Linked DNA regions of Elephas maximus indicus. The protein of the gene in region 2 purifies or fractionates together with the protein of the main gene of each other region. This does not show direct contact. Links are inferred from orthologs where the notes say so. Each region holds a gene or a part of one and is shown on either strand. Other genes may lie near its edges.

Region 1 (6,541 bases), on a different chromosome or scaffold from region 2:
TTAGCAGCTGAGCGCTTAACCATTGTGCCACCAGGGCTCCCTGTCAACCCATACACCAAAACCAAACGCACTGCTGTTTAGTCAATTTCGACTCATAAAGACCCCATGTGACAGAACAGTCCCATCTTTACAGGGGCAAACTGCCATGTCCTTCTCCCACAGAGCAGCTGGCAGGTTTGAACCACTGACCTTGCAGTTAGCAGCTGAGCACTAACCAGAGCTCCTTTTCAACCCACAGGAGAGCCTGTGTCTTGTGAGCCCTTCCCCTGGGGACCCGGGCAGGAAGAAGGGGCTCCAGAAAAGGACAGACAGACTCACTCTTTGGTGTGGTACATGCGGTCTCCCATGCCCAGCTTGGATGTGGTATAAAAGAGCTTCATCTCGGCGTCCGAAACCTGGACGTCACTCAATTTCTTCAGCATCTCTGCTCGCTGGGGGGGGAGGGGGGACGAGTACATTCAACTTTTCACATCATGACCTTCTCTTCAAAAAGGTGGTGAGGCTCTAAAGATAAGTGCAGTATCGCTAACACCTGAAGTCTTTTTAAATCAACGGTCAGGTTACAACTGCACTGCTGCACGTTGTTAACAGATGCAAGCTTTGGGCGGCTGGTCCAGTAGTGATGGTAACACAACACCATGAATACACTGGAACCCACTGAACTGTACACGTTGAAGGGTGAAAATGTTGGATTTTATATTAAAGGACTGTTACTGTGAGTAAAATAAGGAAAGCAGTTCGAAATTCTCTAAAATTAAAAAATAAATAACACAAAATGACCTAAAAATAGCTTAACCCAGTGCCTAAAAAGTTTAAAAACAAAATAGCTTAGTTTAATTAAGAAAGAATGTCTGAGCATTGTGCTGTTTTAAGAACCGCCGTGGGATCAAACTGACAACAGCCAATTCAAAAGACTAGAAGGGAACCTAAGGGGTCAGTGAGTTTATGTTCATAGGGGAGGAACAAGTTGGAAAATGAGTGTGAGAACCGTGGTACAACCGAAGAGTATAATCAATGTCACTGAATTGTACATGTAGAAATCGTTGAATTGGTTTATGTTCTGCTGTGTATATTCTCAACAAGAATAACAAAAATTAAAAAAAAAAAAAAAAGAGAGCATTGATCTACGTACTCCCCAGCTAACAAACTAACATCAGGGCCTCAGCATACCTGGACACATGCTAGATTGACTGAGACCCAAGGAGCTCCCTGCCGGAAGAGTTTGAACACTCTAGAACTGTGTGTCCAGTACAGTAACTGCGGCCACATATAGCTATCCGAATTTAAATTTATTAAAATTAAATAAAATAAAAAATTTCAATTTCTCAGTCACACTGGCCACATTTCAAATACTCAGTAGCCACATGCAGGCAGACATAGAACATTTCCTTTATTCTAGAATGTTCTACTGGATGGCACTGTGGGATGCAGACCCCACATCTCTCCCCACTCTCCAGCCCTCAGAGAGTGGGGCGTACCTGGCTCTTTTTTTCCTTCTGTTCTAAGATTTTCTGCAGCATTTTCTTCTCTTTCTTGGTCAGAGGTTTCTTCTCCTTCTTCGATAGGGGAGGGGCTTTGGTTTTCTTCTTCTTCTTCCCCAGAAGAACGAGTGCATTGCTTGCATCAATGCCTTTCAACGTCCCCTTATCTGAAAAGATATGCTTGGCTCATCCACAGCCCCGGAGGCCAGACACTTATGATGCACACATACCATGGTGTCACTGCCAGCTGCCCTCCTGCCCCATCTGTAAACCCCTGTACACACAGAACCAACAGGTGTAGGCCTGGGGCAGGAGGAAGCTTAGTGTGTCTCAGTTAACAGCAAGGATGCTGGTATAAGTGCAACAGACAGAAAGGGCGGGGGGGAATAGGAATAGGAAAAACCAAAACCAGTTGCCACAGAGTTGACTCCAACTCATGGTGACCTCTCGTGTGTCAGAGTAGAACTGAGCTCCATAGGGTTTTCAGTGGCTGGTTTTTCAGAAGGAGATCACCAGGCCTTTCTTCCAAGGTACCTCTGGGTGGACTCGAACTGCCAACCTTTTAATCAGTGGCCTAGCACTTAACCACTGCACCACTCTGGGGCTCCACGGGGACAGAGAAGGTCAAAGTGGAGCGGAGGCAGCAGGATCACATAGGGCTGGAGGCAGGATTTTATCCTATATGTGCAGAAATTCATTAGAAGGTTTTAAGCAGGAGTGCAATCTGACTTATGTTGCTGAAAGATCCCACTGGCCTTTGAGGAAGGCGAGGATAAACACAGATGTCTCATTTTGATGTTAGAAACAACTTCTCCCAAATCTTTTGAGTACAAGAGGCCTCAGCCCCTCTGCTCTGATCACCCAGTTAAAAATGTCACCCCGGTGTCTTCTGCCTTCTTGGTGGGACCCTCTCATGCTCTGAGCTGTTGCTGTTCCTACAATGGTTGATGTCCGTCATGGGACATGCCACACCTCCACCTTCTTCACTTTTCAAAGCATCCTTACTTCAGCCATAAACATGTTTCCCCAGAATTCCAAAACTCTAAGAACAGGTAGGACAGCTATTACCATTGGTCATGTTTTACAGATAAAGAAACACAGGCACAGAGAGTCAATCAGCCTCAACTCCCAGCCGATCTGCGCCACTTCCAAGAAGGGAATTCAGGCCACTGGAATCCCACCCTGCTGCCTTTCTGGCGCCCTCGCTGCCACCCAGGTTGAACCAGAATGTGGAACCTCAGAGCACACACTGGTGGATTGAGGACAACAGGCTTCTCCAGCAGCCCTGGCTCCCCTTCCCTCCCTCCGTCTCCAGAATCTGGGCCCATTCTTTCCTAATGCCTAACCTGCCAGGAGGAGCCCTGGTGGTGCAGTGGTTAAAGCTCTTGGCTGCTAACCAAATGGTCAGCAGTTCAAACCCACCAGCTGCTCTGAGGCAGCCTGCTTCCATAAAGATTACATCCTTGGAAACCCTATGCGGCAATTGTACCCTGTCCTACAGGGTTGCTACAGAAATAACTCAATGGCAGCGGGTTACTCTGCCAGGCCCTTCAGGAGCTTACATTCAAGCTGCTAGATGAGTTCAATTTAGTACACGTGCAGTTTCAGGAGCCTGCAAGACGTCCTTGTCCTTGAACCCACTCCATCCAGCTTTGCCTCAACTCTCCTCTGAAACTGCTCCTGTCGAGGTCACCCCCCTGCCAAGTGATAAACCTTATGGTCCTTCTCTCCCTCCCTGACTCTGAGGGTGAGTCTCCTCCCTGGTCCCCAGGGCCACCAGGCTCTCCACCCTCCTCACAGGTGCTCCATCTCTGTTGCAGACTCTTCCTGTCCTCCAGTCCTGACAGCCCCAGGCCTCAAGTCCGTTGACCTCTTCCCTGCTTGGTCCACACTCACTGCCTGAGTGAGCCATCCCATCTTCCGACTTTAGATAGTACCATCTAGATGAGGATGACTCCCAAACCGCTGTCTCTGCCTGGACCTGGCTCTCCTGAGCATCCGAATCACCAGCTGCCTGCCTGGATATCTAACGGGCATGCCAACCACTCACATACACAGCCATTCCCAGGCTACCCCCCACCCCCAGCGTCCTCCAGAGACTGAGCCCGAGGCCTGGGAATCATTCCTAACTCCTCCTCTGTTCTCATACAGGCACCGAGTCAGTCAGAAAATCCTGTCAACTCCACCTTCAAAATGCATCCTGAACCCAACCACTTCTCACCTCCTCCACCACTGACTCCTGTTCTGAATTAACGTGATAAACAGCTTCCTTGCCGATCACCCTTTTGTCCCCAAGGATTTCCCTCAACACAGCAGCCCAAGGGATGCCGTTAAAACCTAAGTCTAACTTGATTTGTAAATTTCACTTAAAGCACAATAAAAATTAACAAAAAAACCTAAGTCCAGGTTGTGTCCCTCATCTGCTCTAGACCCTCCCATGGCTCCCAGCTCCCTCAGAGTGAAAGCCAAAGTCTTCAGGATCCTACACGATCCGGCCGGTTCTTTCTGCCACTCTGGCCTCCTCCAGGTTTGACGCAAATAACACTTTCTGGGTGAGGCCTTACCCCCCTATCCCGCCTGGTCACCCTATGGAACACTGTAGCCCACCCCCACCCACCTCCTCTGTTTATATCCTTAGTATAGCCAGTTTTTTTTTTTTTTTATAGCCAGGTAATATTTTATACAGCTTAGCGTTTATCTTTGCCTCTCTCCTCCCAGAAGTATGTAAACTCAGGAAAGCAGGATTCTTTAAAATCTGTTTTCTGCTATGTCTCCAGGCGAATCTACTAGAAAGGAGGCGTCCGACCAGAAATGTCGAGGTCCTGAAGCTGAGCTGACAGGTCTGAAAGTTAAGGGTCGCTGGCACGGAGATTATAATCGAAGGCGCCAGAATGGATGAAATTATCTCGTTTTCTTGCCCGAATTCTCATGCTTTTATATAGGGTCGGACCCTATGCGAGAGAAATCCAGGCAAGGCCCGCATTCACTGTTAAATCTAGGCTGTACTGCCCTCCTGCCTTAGGGTCATCTGAAATGGGGGCTCCTCCCTAGGACCCCGCCCCAGAGTAGGGAAGGTAGGGCACAGTCCGGAGGGTCCCTGGCTCCGGGTCCTGGCGGCGTTGCCCTAGGCGACCCATCTTGTGGCTCCCAGCCCTCTGTCCCGAGATCCCTTACCCTCGAGTTCCAGCTGCACTGGAGGCGGCTCGGGGGGTCCCTTCGAGGGGCCAGGGCCCGCCTGCTGGCGCCCCTTGATGTTGTACCGCCGGCGCAGCTTCCCCATGGCGCTCGGATTCCGTGGGCCGACTCGCAACACTGTCCGAAGCCCAACCCACGTGGGTTGCCAGACCACCCGTCTACCTCGTGAGACTTCCGGGTTGAGCTCTCGCGAGAACTACGACGGCCTGGGTCACTGAGGGGTGGGGCTGGAGGCGGGATTGTGCGGAAAGGGGCGGGCAGAGGGGTGGGGCCAGGTGCAGGGAGGGCGGAGCCAGAGGCAGAAGAAGGTATCTATTTAAAACAAGACAAAAAAAAACCCTTGACGGGCCAGTCTATTCGAACTCACAGCGACCCTACTACAGGACAAAACGGAACTGCCCCACAAGGTTTCCAAGGCTGTAAATCCTTACGGAAGCAGACTGCCACATCTTTCTCCCCAAAGCGGCATCACCAGCGCTCCTCCAGGCACCTGTTAGAAACCTTTAAACTCTCTCATTACCACATTATACTGTAGTGTGCTCAGAAATAATGTATTTTCTGAATCCTATAATTATTTTAGGAATAGGACAGTTACATCGTACTGTCTTTTTTTTTTTAATAAGCATTATTTCGTTAAGGGCAAACATTTAAATTGACACACTCAAAAAGGTGAAGGCACTAGAAGTTATTTTAGAATTTTGGAAAGGATAAAGTTATCTTTTTTTAACTGCCCCAAGAAAAACACTTGCAGAACCTAGAACAACCTCTGGCTGCAGAGTAAAAAAAAAAAAAAAAATTTTAGGTAAGCAATAAATATTTGCTGAATGAAGGAATTAATGAGTGAAGAGTGTGATTGAATTTGGATAAGCTCCCTAAATCCTGCAAAGAAAAAAAAAATCACAATAAACCAAAATCTACAAATAGTGCACCAGAGGATTTAGGTAGTCTACATATGAACATTTTTTAGTTATAATTTCAATTGATTTTTGCAAAAAAAAAGTTATAGATGATAGAGATCTACCATTTCTTCTTTAAATAGATTTACTTAAGTAAATAAAAAGTGCATCCATTCAAAAAACATTAAAAAAAAACATTAAGTAGGTAATAATATATTTTCCTGTATTTCTTTCTAAAATATTATTTACCAAAGAATTAGCCTCCAGAAGACATAAAGAACATCCTATAAATCAAGAAGAAAAAAAGACATATACACAACATGGATGAATCTCATAAATATAATGTTGAACAAAAGAAGCTCCGTTTACATAAAGTTCAAAAACAAGCAAAATGAATCTCCTAAATTTGGGAGAGGGGGGACACAGTAAACGGGAAGAGATAAAGGGGGCTTTTCTGGGGCTGCTCACGCCCCCTTTCTGTATTTGAGCATTGGTTACCCTGTGTTCAGTTTGTGAAAATGCATTGTATTATGTATGTATGTAACATCTCAATAAAAAAGTTTACTTAGAAAAAAAGAAGGCAAATATTTAAAAAAAAAATGCTGTAAGGATATGAACAGAAACCTGGTGGTATAGTGGTTATGAGCTCGGCTGCAAACCAAAAGGTCGGCTAGCCGCTCCTCGGAAATCCTATGGGGGCAGCTCTACTCTGTCCTATAGGGTCGCTGTGAGTCGGAATTACGGCAATGGGTTTTGGTTGTCTGGGTTTTTTTCAAGGATACGAACAGCCAGTTCACATAGGAGCAAATCAAATGGCCAACACATTTAGGAAAACCTCATCGGGAACCCAGAAAACGTACATTCAAACATAAGACACGTTTTATTCTCAGATTGGCAAAAATTAAGTTTCATTTCCCTAGTTGTCTCAAAAAAAACCTCTTATTGGACTTGGTTTGCTTGACTTAGGAT
Region 2 (6,541 bases):
GTGTGTGCATATGCATTAGACATGTGTGACCACGTATGCCTGTACATGTGCAGATGTACACCTGTGTATGTGTGTATGAATGTATGTATATGTGCACATGTTAAAGATCTCCAACCTAAATGGTCCCACAGACCTCTCTTTCTCATCGAAGGAGAGCAGTAAAGCAAAAAAGCCAAGGCTTGCAAAAGGTCTCTCCAATACCAGAGTCTACAGCCTTAACCACTACCCTTGCAATCTAGGTGAGGCTAAGTCCTATAGCAACTGAGGTGGTGGTGCTAGAGAAATGAGATAAGGAAGAAAGAGCATCTTTGGGGGGGAGGGTAGGAAAAGCCCCCAGTCGCCTCCGTAGAATCTCTTAGAGTTCCCCACTGCGACTTTCTATTGGCCTACCTCTGGTGGGCTGGGAAACAAGATATACAATTATTTGTCAAAAGAAGGGGAGAAGGAGATAGCCAGAGAAGGAGTGACAAGCTATGACAACAGATGAATAAAGAACTGAGTCCCTGACTGCAGACATCGGCGCAGGATAGAGAGGCTAGAAATGAAATGAGATGGCTGTCTCCCAACTCCTGCCTCTGACCTTTATTCCATAAGAACCTTCCTCCCCCTGGCCTACCTTCACTCTCCACCCTCCCCCCCTCCCAGTACTCACTGGATGTCGGATATCAGTGATGAGCAAGACAATGTCAGACATCTCTAACACTCGCCACAGCTGCCTCCATGTCTGAAGAGACAAGAGATGGTAGAAGAGAACCTGAGTCCAGAGCACCCCCCCACCCAAATCAACTTGACCATGGGTCTCTACACCCAACTCTAGTCTCACCTCCAGATTGTGCTCAAAGTAGCTGAGTTTCTCAGAGGTGTAAGCCCCATGAATCTTCCCAAGATACTCCTGGAAACTCCGTTCCTCCTGACTCATGAGTTGCTCCTTAGACATCTCATAACTCCAAGGAGGACGTCGGGGAAAGTCCAGGACTTGGAAACCAAAAAAAGTCCAAGTATGAAGATAGTTTCAGGACTCAAGGGTGCATCCCAAACCCTGCCTTCCTCAGTCAGCTCTGGCCCTTCCAAACTCCCTCCCTGTGCCAAATATCCTGGTGTTGACCTCTCCCTCACCTGAGCCAGGCTGATAGACCTCCTTGATGTCCAGCTCCAGCACCTCGGCACTGACAGGCTGTAGCACTTGTTCTCGGGCTGCTCTCTTTCTCCTCTCCACCTCCTCCCTGCTGTCCCGCTCAAAATGCAGCCGGTATCTAAGGAGACAGGGGCCAGGCATCCAGTGCAATCCTGTGGCCACAAACTCCATCTTCTCTCCTCTTGGACCAGCACCTTCTCAAAGCCTTCCCTCCACACTTGTTCAAATTTCCTCTCTTGGTTTGCCTTCCTCCAAGTCCCTCTTTCACGGATATTCGGCCTTCCCCTAAGCCTCACCCTCCTACAGCCAAAATCTCTCCACCCTCTAAAAGAGATGACTGTGGACCGCTAGAGGCATCCCAGCCCCACCTACTCCACTTTCAAGCCTCCACCAGCAGCAGCCCGCTTTCCCCTGGCGTTCTGATTTCCGGGTAGGCGGGGAGGCCCCGACCGGCACCCCCTCCCTCCGCCCACCCTCACCGATTTGGGTCGTAGCCTCGCGGGCCCAGCCCCTGGGAAGGCTGCTGGTTGAGCCTGCGGATATGATGGGTCACAGACTCCCCGTCCGAGGTATCGGTTTGCTCCTCTCGCCGCTCCCGGCTCCCGCTGCGGCTGTTGGAACTGGAGCGCAGCCCATCTTGAAGCCCTGCTGGGAGGGGCCGGTGACGCCAGCGCCGGCCGGTTCTCAGGGGCCATAAGATCCCCCTCCCCAGGCGGCCTGGCTCCTCCTCACCCCACCGCACCTCTTTCGAGGCCGGGCCCTTCTAGTCAGTCGGCCCAGGACCCCCCCGGAATTGCGTGAGGGGACTCACCCCTCCTCCAGAGAGCTGCGGGGATGGCGCCCCGTACGAGCTGAAGGGATTCCCCTCCCCCAACTCCCTCTCCTTCCCCATCCCTTCCAGATGTCGGGGGGCTAAGGTGGAGGAATCTCCTCTGCGATCGCCGGCGCGGGTCGTCGCGCGCTCCCCCCCTCCCACGCCCCCCAGAGGTGCGGAGGGCACACCTCTCCCTCCAGATGTGCGGGAGCCCGAGCCCCGCCCCCTCCTCCCTCGCTGACCTCGCTTCCGCTCTCGCTTGTCCTGCAACTGCTTCTTCTTCTGCTTCACGCTGAAGGGCTTCTTCCTCGGCATGGCCCGGACCAGACACCTGGCCCGCCCTCCGCCGAGCTCCCTCCGCCTCAACTGACTCCCCCCCGGCAGCCCCCGCCGCAGGGCCCCGGGACCCTAGAAGGGGCGGGGCTAGCAGGTGACGTCAGCGGGCGGGCCGGGCCACTCACCGCGTCGGCCTGACTGAAAGGCGGACAGGGCAAATACAGTCACTTCCCTCCAGGAGCGTGGCGAGAGGATGATGCCGCGTGGCCTACCCGCGCATGAGAGCCGGTCGCACCGAGAGGGCGCAGCGGCGGCAAGGAAAGAGGTGCGCGTGGGAGGATCGGGCTAACTTCGTCACGGACGCTACCAACTCGCTATCGGAGGAGGGGAGACGTATGTCATCACTACCTTGCGCGGCCGGCGAGAAGCTACCACTCACCTGGAGGGGGAGGCGGAGCGGAGGGCGGGCCCTACCACCCAGGGGAGAAGGGGGCGGGGACACATAGAAGCTCCCTTACCAACCCGGAGGCTTGACCTTAGTGGAGAGCCGAGACGGCGCGTCCCAGGAGTGAATACAGGTTGCTGGGCTACAGCTAGGGGCCGGGGCAGAGGTCCTGAAGGGCAGGTGGCGATCTGAAGAATCTCGGGCGCTGCTCTGCTGGGACCCAAATTCTTTGTGAGAATGATGACAAGGAGCGAGTTTACAGATTTATGTATAAGCGCGGGCGAGGAGGAAAACCTACATGGGATAAAGACTTTCGGAGAGAGGTCGGAGGGCACGAAGTTGTGCCTGCAGCTGTTACCATGGTAACCGGGTACCGGATGTGGCGATCTTAGGATGCGACAGCCCTCGCTTCTCAGGCCTCCTGGCCCAAGACCCTCTCGACTATATGGCACACTGTGAGGAACGGGTTGTGGTGTTTTCTCTGCGGCGAGGAAGAATAGAATATTTTTTAAGCCTCTATAAAAACGCAGCAAAGAGAAGGTTCTACATCGCGTCCATGCCTGGCAAAGACCTGAGGATGCGGCTGCAGCAGAGACTCCCCGCAGCCTTCCGGAAGTGAAATGGCGGGAGTCTCAGCCTCACTGTCCACCGTCCCCCCGGAAGCGGAAACAGAATCCCAGCTTGCCCCTTCCTCACTGCCCTCCAAATTCTACTGCAGCCATTCCCGCAGCCACGATGCCAAAACGAAAGAAGCAGAATCAGCAGCAGCAGCTTCCACCGCCGCAGCCCCCACTGCCAGAGCCGGGAGAGACTGGAGACGAGGACGACAGAAGTCCCATCGGTGAGGAGCCCGGGAGGTGCACCTGCCTGTCAGCCCGTCCTGGCGAGGGGCTAGGGGCTGACAAGGTGGGGAGGAGATCCTCTAATGGAAGAAGGAAGGGTGCACGCGCTGGGAGAGGGGGCCTATCTGGGATGAAGCCCTGAACGTGGAGTTCTCTTATTTGGACTTTCAACCTTAATCTGACCCCCAAACCTTTTTAGAGAAGGCAGGGAGGAGAGGATAAAGAGCTCGTGCGCGCAGCCGCAGAACGGCAGGGGAGAGGAGCCGAAGAGAGGTTGCAGATTGGGGTGACTAGGATGATTTGTGATCAGATTTTCACAGGAAAGGTGAAAGTGCAGCCTTTTCTCAGCTGCTCTCTGGGGGGGGAGGGATGGGAAGGAGAATCACCTGGGATGTTTTGAATATCAACACTGTAAGAAAAATAGAAAGTTGTCAGTATCCTTCCCACATTATTCTCCCCAGGGCTGAGTCTCTACTTTTTGCAAACCCTGACACAGGTTTGCAGAGAAAGGGCAGATAAGTGGAGTGAGAACTGGGCAACATGGCTGAGAATATATTTGGCTTTGTTGGTTGGACTAAGAAATGTGTAATAGAAGAAAAACACACGTAAGAACTCAGTCATTTAGTCCACTCTAGTGACCATATTTTCATGTCTACTCTCAGGACCACCCAGCCTTCTGGGCCCTCCCCCCATGGCCAATGGAAAGCCTGGTGACCCCAAGTCAGGTGAGAAGGAAGGGGCCCTGAACCTTGGATTAAATCCTAGAGAAGGGAGCAAGGGAGGGAGTAAAACCCAGGCGGGACCTTAAATCAAAAGACCAGTGCTTCTGTGCCTAAGTAAATGGAGAGATGTTGATAGTCACAGAGTGGAAACTCAATGTTGTAAAAATGTCATTTCTTCCCAAATTGATCCATAGTTTCAATGCATTCCCAGTCAGAATTCTATCATTTTCTTGTGGAGATAAAGATTCCACCTACATGTCAGAGTGATAAACTGCCAAGATAGTCTTGAAGAATAAAATAGAGGCCTTACTCTGAATATCAAAACTTAATTATAACAGTATGGTATTAGCACGGTGGTAGACCTATAAGTCAATAGAACAGCACAGAGCTCAGAAACAAGCCTACACGTATATGTATTATGATGAAGGTGGCATTAGAAAGGTGGTCTTTTCAGTAAATGGTGCTGGGTCAATTGTATGTTCGTGTGGGAAAAAACAAACTCTTAATCATACTGGGTACAAAAATCAATTCCAAGTGGACTGTAGATCTATAAGTGTGAAAAGTAGAAGAATAATTCTAGAAAAAAGTTCTTACCACCAAGAAACACACACACTAACCGTAGAGAAAAGATCACTAAATTGAACTATGCTAAAAAATATAAACTTCTGTTTATTTAAGAGCGCAAAGGAGTCCCTGGGTGGCACAAACAGTTAAGTGCTCGACTACTGGCCGAAAGATTGGCAGTTCCAACCCACCCGTGGGGCCTTGGAAGATAGGCCTGGCAGTCTGCTTCCAAGGATCACAGCCTTGAAAACCCTAGGAAGCAGTTCTACTCTGCATATATGGGGTTGCCATAAATCGGAATCAACTTGAGGGCAACTAACAAAAAAACTCAAAAGGAAGTGATAGAGTGAGAGAAGATGTGTGCAATGTATGTAATCAATGTGGAGCTTGTATTAAAGAGCTCTTCCAGACAGTCTGTTAGAGAAATGGCAAAAGATGAGAACAGGCACCATCAGAAAAGAGGAGATCTGACTGGCCAATAACATGTGAATAAATACTCAACATTAGTCATCAAATGAATGCAAGTTATAAACAACACCACTTTTCACACTCGCCAGATGACTAAAATGAAAGACTGGCAATAGCAAGTGTTGTCAAAGATATGGAACAACTGCCAGTGGGAGTACAAATTGGTACAACCACACTGAAAAAAATTGACATTAGCTATTAAACTTGAACATACATGTACTCTGTGGCCCAGCAGTTCCTCTACTACGTATATACTCAACAGAAATGCATACATAATGTGTGACAAAGACATGTATAAAAATGTTCACAGCAGCATTTTTCGTTATAGCCCCAAACTGGAAACCACCCACATGTCCATCACCAGTAGAATGGATAAATAAATTGTTGTATATGCATGCAATGGGATACTACACTGCAATGAAAATGAACGAACTACTGCTACAGGCAACCAACCTGGATGAATCTCACAAACATGATGTTGAGCGAAAGAAGCCAGACACAAAAGAATGCAGACTGTATGATTCCATTTATGCGAAGTTCAAAAACAGGCAAAAACTAACCTATGGTGTTAGAAGTCAGGATAGTGGTTATCTTTGGGAGGAGGGCGGGATAGTAAGGGGCAGGGGCACATGGGGGGACTTATGAAGTGTTAATAAGGTTCTATTTCTTCACCTGGGTGGTGGTAACAGGTGTGTTTACTTTGTGATAATTGAGTTATATACTTAAATCTGGTGTATTCTGTATGTATATTGTACTTCAATAAAAAGTAAAAATAAGATCAGGATTTCTGTATCGGGATTAAGCTGGCTATTGATCACCTTTCTGTGTCTTCCTCTCTTTGTTTCTCTTTGCAGCTCTTCATAGAGGTCCTCCAGGATCAAGGGGACCATTGATTCCACCACTGCTGAGTCTCCCACCTCCTCCCCGGGGTAGAGGGCCAATGCGGGGAGGCCTAGGTCCCAGATTTGGCCCATATGGTCATGGTTGGTGGGGAGTCAATGCTGAACCTCCTTTTCCTGGGCCAGGCCATGGGGGTCCCTCCAGGGGAGGCTTTCACAAAGAACAAAGAAACCCTCGAAGGCTCAAAAGCTGGTCTCTCATCAAGAATACCTGCCCTCCCAAAGATGGACCACAGGTTACGGAAGGTGAGCTCCATTATTTTTAGCCTGTACAGAGAATATCCATGACTCTTCTCCTTTAGGCTGTTCTTTTTTTTGCTTGAAGTAAAAGTCCTGAATGTTTCTTCTCCCAGCATAAAGACTACCATTCCAAAAT
Region 3 (6,541 bases), on a different chromosome or scaffold from region 2:
AGAATGAAGAGGGGGCAACACTTAAAGAGAATTTTCCAGGATTGATGAAATATAATAATCCTCAGATTCAGGATATACAGTGAATCCCAATCAGGATGAATAAAACTAAATCCATCCACTATGATTCATCATAGTGAAACTGCAGAACACCACAAAGAGAAGATCCTGAGAGCCATAAATAACAGAAGAAAAAAACAGATTAACGATGATTAGACTGGTATCACAAGTGCTACCTCCTGCAGCTGGGTCTGGTCACATATACCCTTGGGGTCCATCAAATGCTCCCCAGGCTGTCACTGAATACCACCACCTTCCTCTTACCTCCCCCAGTCAAATACACTTCCAAAGGCTGGCTGGAGCTCCATACCCACCTGTCAATGGCTGCAGCTGGACCAGCGCACAGCCGGAGCCTGTGGCCACCACACGGAAGTGGCTGAGAGTCCTTTTGACACCTTCCAGGATGTCCTTCCGGGAAGGAGGCTTCACTGGAACTACCTGCAATGCCAGCCCCCCAAAATAAATAAGCTTTGCACATGACTGGGAGCTATACCCAGACCCTTCCTGAGCAGACTCAGGACAGGGCCACAGTGTGGGCAGTGGTCACTTACCTGTTTTAGGGGACAGGAGAGCCAGCCACCCCAAGTCTATACCCCTGATTCCTCTGTCAGGGACACTGTCTGGAAGGACCCTTCTCTTCCTCAGTCAGACCCTTACTCACAAGATTGGCCCCATCAATGTGTTCCAATTTCAAAGCCGCTTGGATCTTTCCCTCAGAGGTAGCTGGGATCCCATCAGTGATGGCACTGCAGGGAGAAAAAGGCAGGAGGAGGTTGCAGAGTGGCCTGCTAGGACCTCCCTACTGCCCTGGGAGCCTCCCAGGGCTTCTCACCAGTAGGTGGCTGTCGGTCTTTGGACTCTGCATGAGTGAGTGAAGAACTTCTGGAGGCGACTTGCAGTCTGGGGACAACTGGAAAGGAGTACAAGCCCAGAGGAATCCCTGGAGGAAGAGGACAAATCACACAACTTAAAGTCTCTGAGGGGTGCACCCACAAAAAAGGAGACCCCTAGAAAGGGGCACTGACCTGCTGAAGGCCAAACAGTAACACCAGAACTATAATAACCCAGATATCCTCCTGAGGAACAGGTAAGGCTTCCCCTTGTTTGATAACAAGACTGTGTACCTCAATGTTTTTCTCATTTTGCCCTGGCCACCAGGGAGCTCAGAGCCAAATGTCATAAAAATTACCACCATTTGCTGAGTGTCTAAGGAGCCATGGTGGTGCAATGGTTAAGCGCTAGGCTGCTTAATGAGAGGTTGGTAGTTCGAACCCACCCAGCAGTTCTGTGGGAGAAAGACATAGTGACCTGCTTCTGTAAAAATGACAGCCTAGAAAACCCTATGGAGCAGTTTTACTCTGTCACATGGGGTCACGGCTGAGTGTCTGCCACATGCCAGATACTGTACTAGGAATTTTACATGTTAGGTCTTTTTTTCTTTTTATTGTGATGAAAATAGACACACTACAACATTTGCCAACACAACTTCCATATTTACAATTCGATGACATTGATTATATTTTTTAGGTTGGGCCACCATTATCACTACCCTTTTCCAAAATATTCCACCACCATTAACATAAACCCAGTGCCGCCCAAACAAAAACTCCCCCTTCCACCCTCTTCTCACTCTTGGTAACCGTTAAAAATCTTTGGCTTCTATATATTTGCTTATTTCATATAAGTGGGATCAGTCCTTTCGCAACTGACTTATTTCGCTCAGCATAATGTTTTCAAGGTTCATTTGTTGTGACATGCAGCAGGATTTCATTTCTCTTTAAGGCTGCATAATATTCCATTGTGTGTATATACCACATTTTGTTTATCAGTCGATCTGCTGATGGACATTTTGGTTGTTTCTACTTTTGGCTATTGTGAAAACTGCTGCAGTGAACACTGGTATACAGATATCTGTATGCATTCTTGCCTTCACTTCTTTTGGGTATATACTGAGGACTGGGATTGATGGGTCTATATATTAGCTCTTAAATAATCAAATTCTTCACAAGCCCATGAGTTTGTGGACTTGCAGAAAGATTTCATCTCAAGTATCATCTCTAGTTGACGGTAGCTGGAGGAAAGAGTATCATGGATTGACCAACAATGCCTGCCATGGGTATGGCATTGGGAAAATGCCTGCACAGTGAGCATGAGGTAGGTATTATTATCTCTGTTTTACAGTTAAGGGAACTGAGGTGAGGCTCAGGGAGGTTCTGTTCTTTGCCCAGGTTCACACAGTTTGTAAATAAAACAGTTGGGATTTGAACCCAAGATCTGTCGGTTTCCTGCTCTTTTTCATAGCCCTCACATCGTACCTCTGTCATCCCAAACCTTTGTCTGGAAATTGTCTTTGCTTATTCCCAAGCATCTGTCTCCTCGCCCCAGGTGGCTCCTTGTCCTCCTACCTTTTTTTTTTTTTAGGGTTTCCTGGCCTCCTGCCTTCTTATTTTGGAAACCCTGGTGGTGTAGTGGTTAAGCGCTATGGCTTCTAACCAAAAGGTTGGCAGTTTGAATACACCCGGCGCTCCTTGGAAACCCTATGGGGTAGTTCTACTGTATCCTATAGGGTCTCTATGAGTCAGAATCGACTCAGCGGCAATGGGTTTGCTTTTTATTTTGTTTCTACCTTCTTATTACCCCCTACCACTTACTTCCCAGGTGCTCGGACAATCTGGAGCTCCCGCTCCCCGAGCCCCAGTGACTGGCTTAGCTCTGGCAGCACTGAGAGCAGTGTCAGGTCTCCTGGTTTCCCTGGGAAAGAAGAAGGATAATTACAGGTTGCTCCCAGAGGCCATAGCTAGATGTCACACCCCCTTTCACAGCATTCCCTTCCCCTGCCCTCTATCCCTACCTGTTACTGGCAGCCCCTGTGGCTTGTTGACTGTCACTAGAGGTCCTGAAATACATGATGTTACATGACCACTGGCAGAAGCAAAAGCAACAGTTAACCTTTGTGCAACCCTTAGTTTACAAAGCACTTTCTCATGTATGTTAGCATGTGAGCTCAATGACAACTCTCAGTCAAGAGGTATCAACCCCATCCTAAACTGAACTTCTCTCTGTCCCTCAAATATGCCATTTGAGGCCACCTCAGGGCCTTTGCACTTGCCATTTCCTCTGCCCCAGATTTTTACATGTCTGGCTCCTACTATATCATCTTGGCTCATATATTACCACCACAAAGAGGCCTGAAGCCCCAATCTAATGTTTGCTCCTTCCTCCCCAGCCCCTCACCATCACAACACCCTGTTTTAGTTTATTCATAGCACTGATCGCCGTTAAGTAACTTGTTCATTTATTTTCTGGTTAATCCATTTCTCCTGCTAGAATGTTGGCTCCCTGGGGGCAGAAACCATATTTATCTTGTTCAGCACTGTACAGCCAGTGCTCAGACCATAGCAGGTGCTCAAAAATAGTAGTTAAGAAAATCAATAAATCACTGAATGGAGAAGCTGAGGCTCAGAGGAATTAAGTGATTTTCCTAAAGCCACATAGCAAGCTGGTATAGAGCCTAGATATCTGACTCCAAAGCCTGGGTTTTGTCTGTCGATAAAAAATAATTTATTACTATAGAAATTCCCATAACTGAGTCCTAGTAAGTGCAAGGCTCTCTAGTTATTTGCATCCCCTCCACACACCCACTCCCTACACACACACACCCCTATCCCAAGATGATGAAGTTCAGAGAGGTTACGTTGCTCGCCTTAGCTCGTGCTACTAGTGGAAGGCAGAACTGGGATTTGAGCGCAGGGCTTCTCGAACCCAGCCAGCCTCCTAGAAGGCTCGAAGCCGCAGGCTCCCCTCGCGGGTCTCTGTGCAGCTGTGCTTATCACCCCTCACCTTTCTGATCCACCACGGCTGCTGTCAGCACATCAACCAGCTCCTCGCGACTGAGGTCCTCTGGCCGTAGTAGCCCGGGACATGGTTGGTCCCTGCGGGGTCCCGACCGTTTACTGGAGCCTTGAGGTTGCAGCTGATGCCTGGAAAGGATGAGAGAAGCAACCGGTGGATGTTTCGCGGTGCCGCATTCCTATCTCCACACACCTCTCTCCAAACCCTGCCTCCTCTTCAGAATGCCTGGGCTGAGCTTCCCGAAAAGTCTGGTTCAACTGGCCCCATTTTATAGAGGAGAGAACTGAGACTCAGGCCGAATGATTAGCTTAGGGGCACACAGCAGAGCCGGCATTAGAGTCCATGTCTATCTAGCTCCAGATCCTGCACAGAGCCGCCCCTGCCTCTCTCCGACACGAGGGTAGAGCGTAATCACCCAGCCTTGGTGCCAAAGCCTGCGGCCGCGAGCGCTGCACGGACCCCAGGGCCCCGCCGCCAGCCAACCCAGCTCCGGCCCCAAATACAGCAGCCCACCATCTCCGCTGCGAAGACAGTGCGCATGTGTGTCCAGAAGGACAGCCCCACACACCTGCAGTGCGCTGATTGGTCAGATTGGCTGTCAATCGGAATAAGCGAGGAGACTGCGCTCAGAACCGTGAGGAGGCGGAGCTTTGCCTCTGCCGGTCCGCCCACCAACCCACTACTGTCGAGTCGGTAGAAGGAAATAAATAAATCCGTACTTTGTGCTTTCGGGAAAACTGAGGCGCACGGCGGGACCAAAACTGGGACGAAAGTTCAAGGTTCTCTGATCATCATTCCAACTTTTAGGAGCTTCCTGGCCTCAGAAAAACACCACTGAAGCACAATTTCGTAAGGCAAATTGGCAAAAAAAAAATCCCACATCCTTTGGTCCAGTAAACCTGTCCCTAGAACACAGCCTGTTGCATAATCCAAACGGAGAAAAAGGCCAAAAAGGCAGAAAGACATTAACTACAGCGTTACTTGTCAAAGCAAAATAAAACAAATTTCAAAACTAGGAAACAAATTGTCCAGTGGTGAAATCTATTAACCCCCCTTCTCCCCCCCCCAAAAAACATTGCCTTTCAGTCGATTCCGACTCATAGCGACCCTATAGGACAGAGTAGAACTGCCCCATAGAGTTTCCCAGGAGCGTCTGGTGGAGTCGAACTGCCGACCTTTTGGTTAGCAGCCTAGCTCTTAACCACTACGCCACCAGGGTTTCCAAAATAAATTTAATACATAAGTCAGTCAATATTTTTTTAATGCTAACTCTATGCCAGGGGCCCTGGTGGCAAAATGGTTAAGTGCTGGGCTGCTAACTGAAAGGTTGGTGGTTTGAACCCACCCAGTGGAACCCACTGCAGCAACTCTGAAGGAGAAAGACCTGGCAACTGCTTCCATACAGATTACAAGAAAACCCTACAGGGCAGTTCCACTCACATTAGGTTGCTATTAGTGGAAATCAACTGCAGGGTACCTAACAACAACAACAAACTCTATGCTGGTTGCAAGACCCTTGCAATCTCTGTGCTGAAAACACAGATCCACAAAACTCAGGCCCTGCCTACAGAAGGTCATTGAGTTGACAGAAGATTGGGGTCATAGCATTACAATTCACCTTGCTAAACGCTGTGGAGACGCTGAGAGAAGTGCGATGATGGGCAGAGGTGAAATCACAGATCAGAGAAAGCTTCCAAGCAAAGGGCCATCTGAGATGACTTGTGAAGAACTAACAAAAATCCACCAGGAGGAAAAGGTGTGGGAGGGGGAGAAGAAAGGGGTAAGCAGAGGGAGGGAGCAATGAGGAGAAATGAGAAGATAAGTGAAAAAAAGCAAAGTACATCATGGGCTCTATACTGTGATTGTTATTGTTGGGAGGTGCCATCAAGTTGGTTCCAACTCATAGAGACCCTATGTACAATAGAATGAAACACTGCCTGGTCCTGTGCCATACTCAAAATCACTCCTCTGTTTGAGTCCATTGTTACAGCCACTGTGTTAATCCATCTTGTTGAAGATCTTCCTCTTTTTTGATGACCCTCTACCTTACCAAGCATGATGTTCTTCTCCAGGGACTGGTCCCTCCTGGTAACATGTCCAAAGCACATAAGATGAAGTCTCGCTATCCTTGCTTCCAAGGAGCATTCTGGGTGTATTTCTTCCAAGACAGACTAGTTTGTTCTTTTGGTAATCCATAGTATTTTCAATATTCACCAATACTATAATTAAAAAAAAAAAAATACCACTGCCGTCGAGTCAATTCTGACTCATAGCGACCCTATAGTTCAAAGGCATCAATTTTTCAGTCTTCCTTATTCATTGTCCAGCTTTCACATGCGTATGAGGCGATTGAAAATACCATGGCTTGGGTCAGGCACACTTTAATCCTCAAAGCGACATCTTTGCTTTTTAACATTCAAAGAAGTCTTTTCCAGCAGATTTGCCCAATGCAATGTGTCATTTGATTTTTTGACTGCTGCTTCCATGGGTGTTGATTGTGAATCCAAGTAAAATGATTCACATTTTCTTTTCTCCATTTATCATGATGTTGCTTATTGGTCTAGTTGTGAGGATTTTTGTTTTATGTTGATATGTAATTCATACTGAAGGCTGTAGTCTTTGATTTTCATCA

What was found.
Region 1: the proteins of PRR3 (region 2) and DHX37 purify together in Homo sapiens (co-immunoprecipitation; 3 studies listed by BioGRID and IntAct, with this or other methods). This does not show direct contact. The link is inferred for Elephas maximus indicus from reciprocal best matches to the Homo sapiens genes PRR3 and DHX37.
Region 3: the proteins of PRR3 (region 2) and RPUSD3 purify together in Homo sapiens (co-immunoprecipitation; 3 studies listed by BioGRID and IntAct, with this or other methods). This does not show direct contact. The link is inferred for Elephas maximus indicus from reciprocal best matches to the Homo sapiens genes PRR3 and RPUSD3.

Annotation. Positions count from the first base shown.
Region 1 is NC_064840.1:5,654,295-5,660,835, reverse strand, and holds the start of DHX37 (probable ATP-dependent RNA helicase DHX37), read right to left. Parts: upstream 4,849-6,541; 5' UTR 4,762-4,848; coding exon 4,656-4,761; intron 1,649-4,655; coding exon 1,479-1,648; intron 432-1,478; coding exon 319-431; intron 1-318. UniProt on the Homo sapiens protein: ATP-binding RNA helicase that plays a role in maturation of the small ribosomal subunit in ribosome biogenesis. Required for the release of the U3 snoRNP from pre-ribosomal particles.
Region 2 is NC_064819.1:90,903,861-90,910,401, forward strand, and holds the start of PRR3 (proline-rich protein 3), read left to right. Parts: upstream 1-3,208; 5' UTR 3,209-3,405; coding exon 3,406-3,511; intron 3,512-4,174; coding exon 4,175-4,237; intron 4,238-6,120; coding exon 6,121-6,411; intron 6,412-6,541. Other genes in the region: GNL1 (guanine nucleotide-binding protein-like 1), read right to left, coding at 653-724, 824-975, 1,117-1,253, 1,615-1,780, 2,192-2,264.
Region 3 is NC_064838.1:34,811,269-34,817,809, forward strand, and holds the start of RPUSD3 (mitochondrial mRNA pseudouridine synthase RPUSD3), read right to left. Parts: upstream 4,450-6,541; coding exon 4,325-4,449; intron 4,038-4,324; coding exon 3,898-4,037; intron 2,954-3,897; coding exon 2,909-2,953; intron 2,809-2,908; coding exon 2,709-2,808; intron 998-2,708; coding exon 890-997; intron 804-889; coding exon 719-803; coding exon of another isoform or gene 715-718; intron 526-714; coding exon of another isoform or gene 496-525; coding exon 372-495; intron 1-371. UniProt on the Homo sapiens protein: Catalyzes uridine to pseudouridine isomerization (pseudouridylation) of specific mitochondrial mRNAs (mt-mRNAs), a post-transcriptional modification necessary for their translation.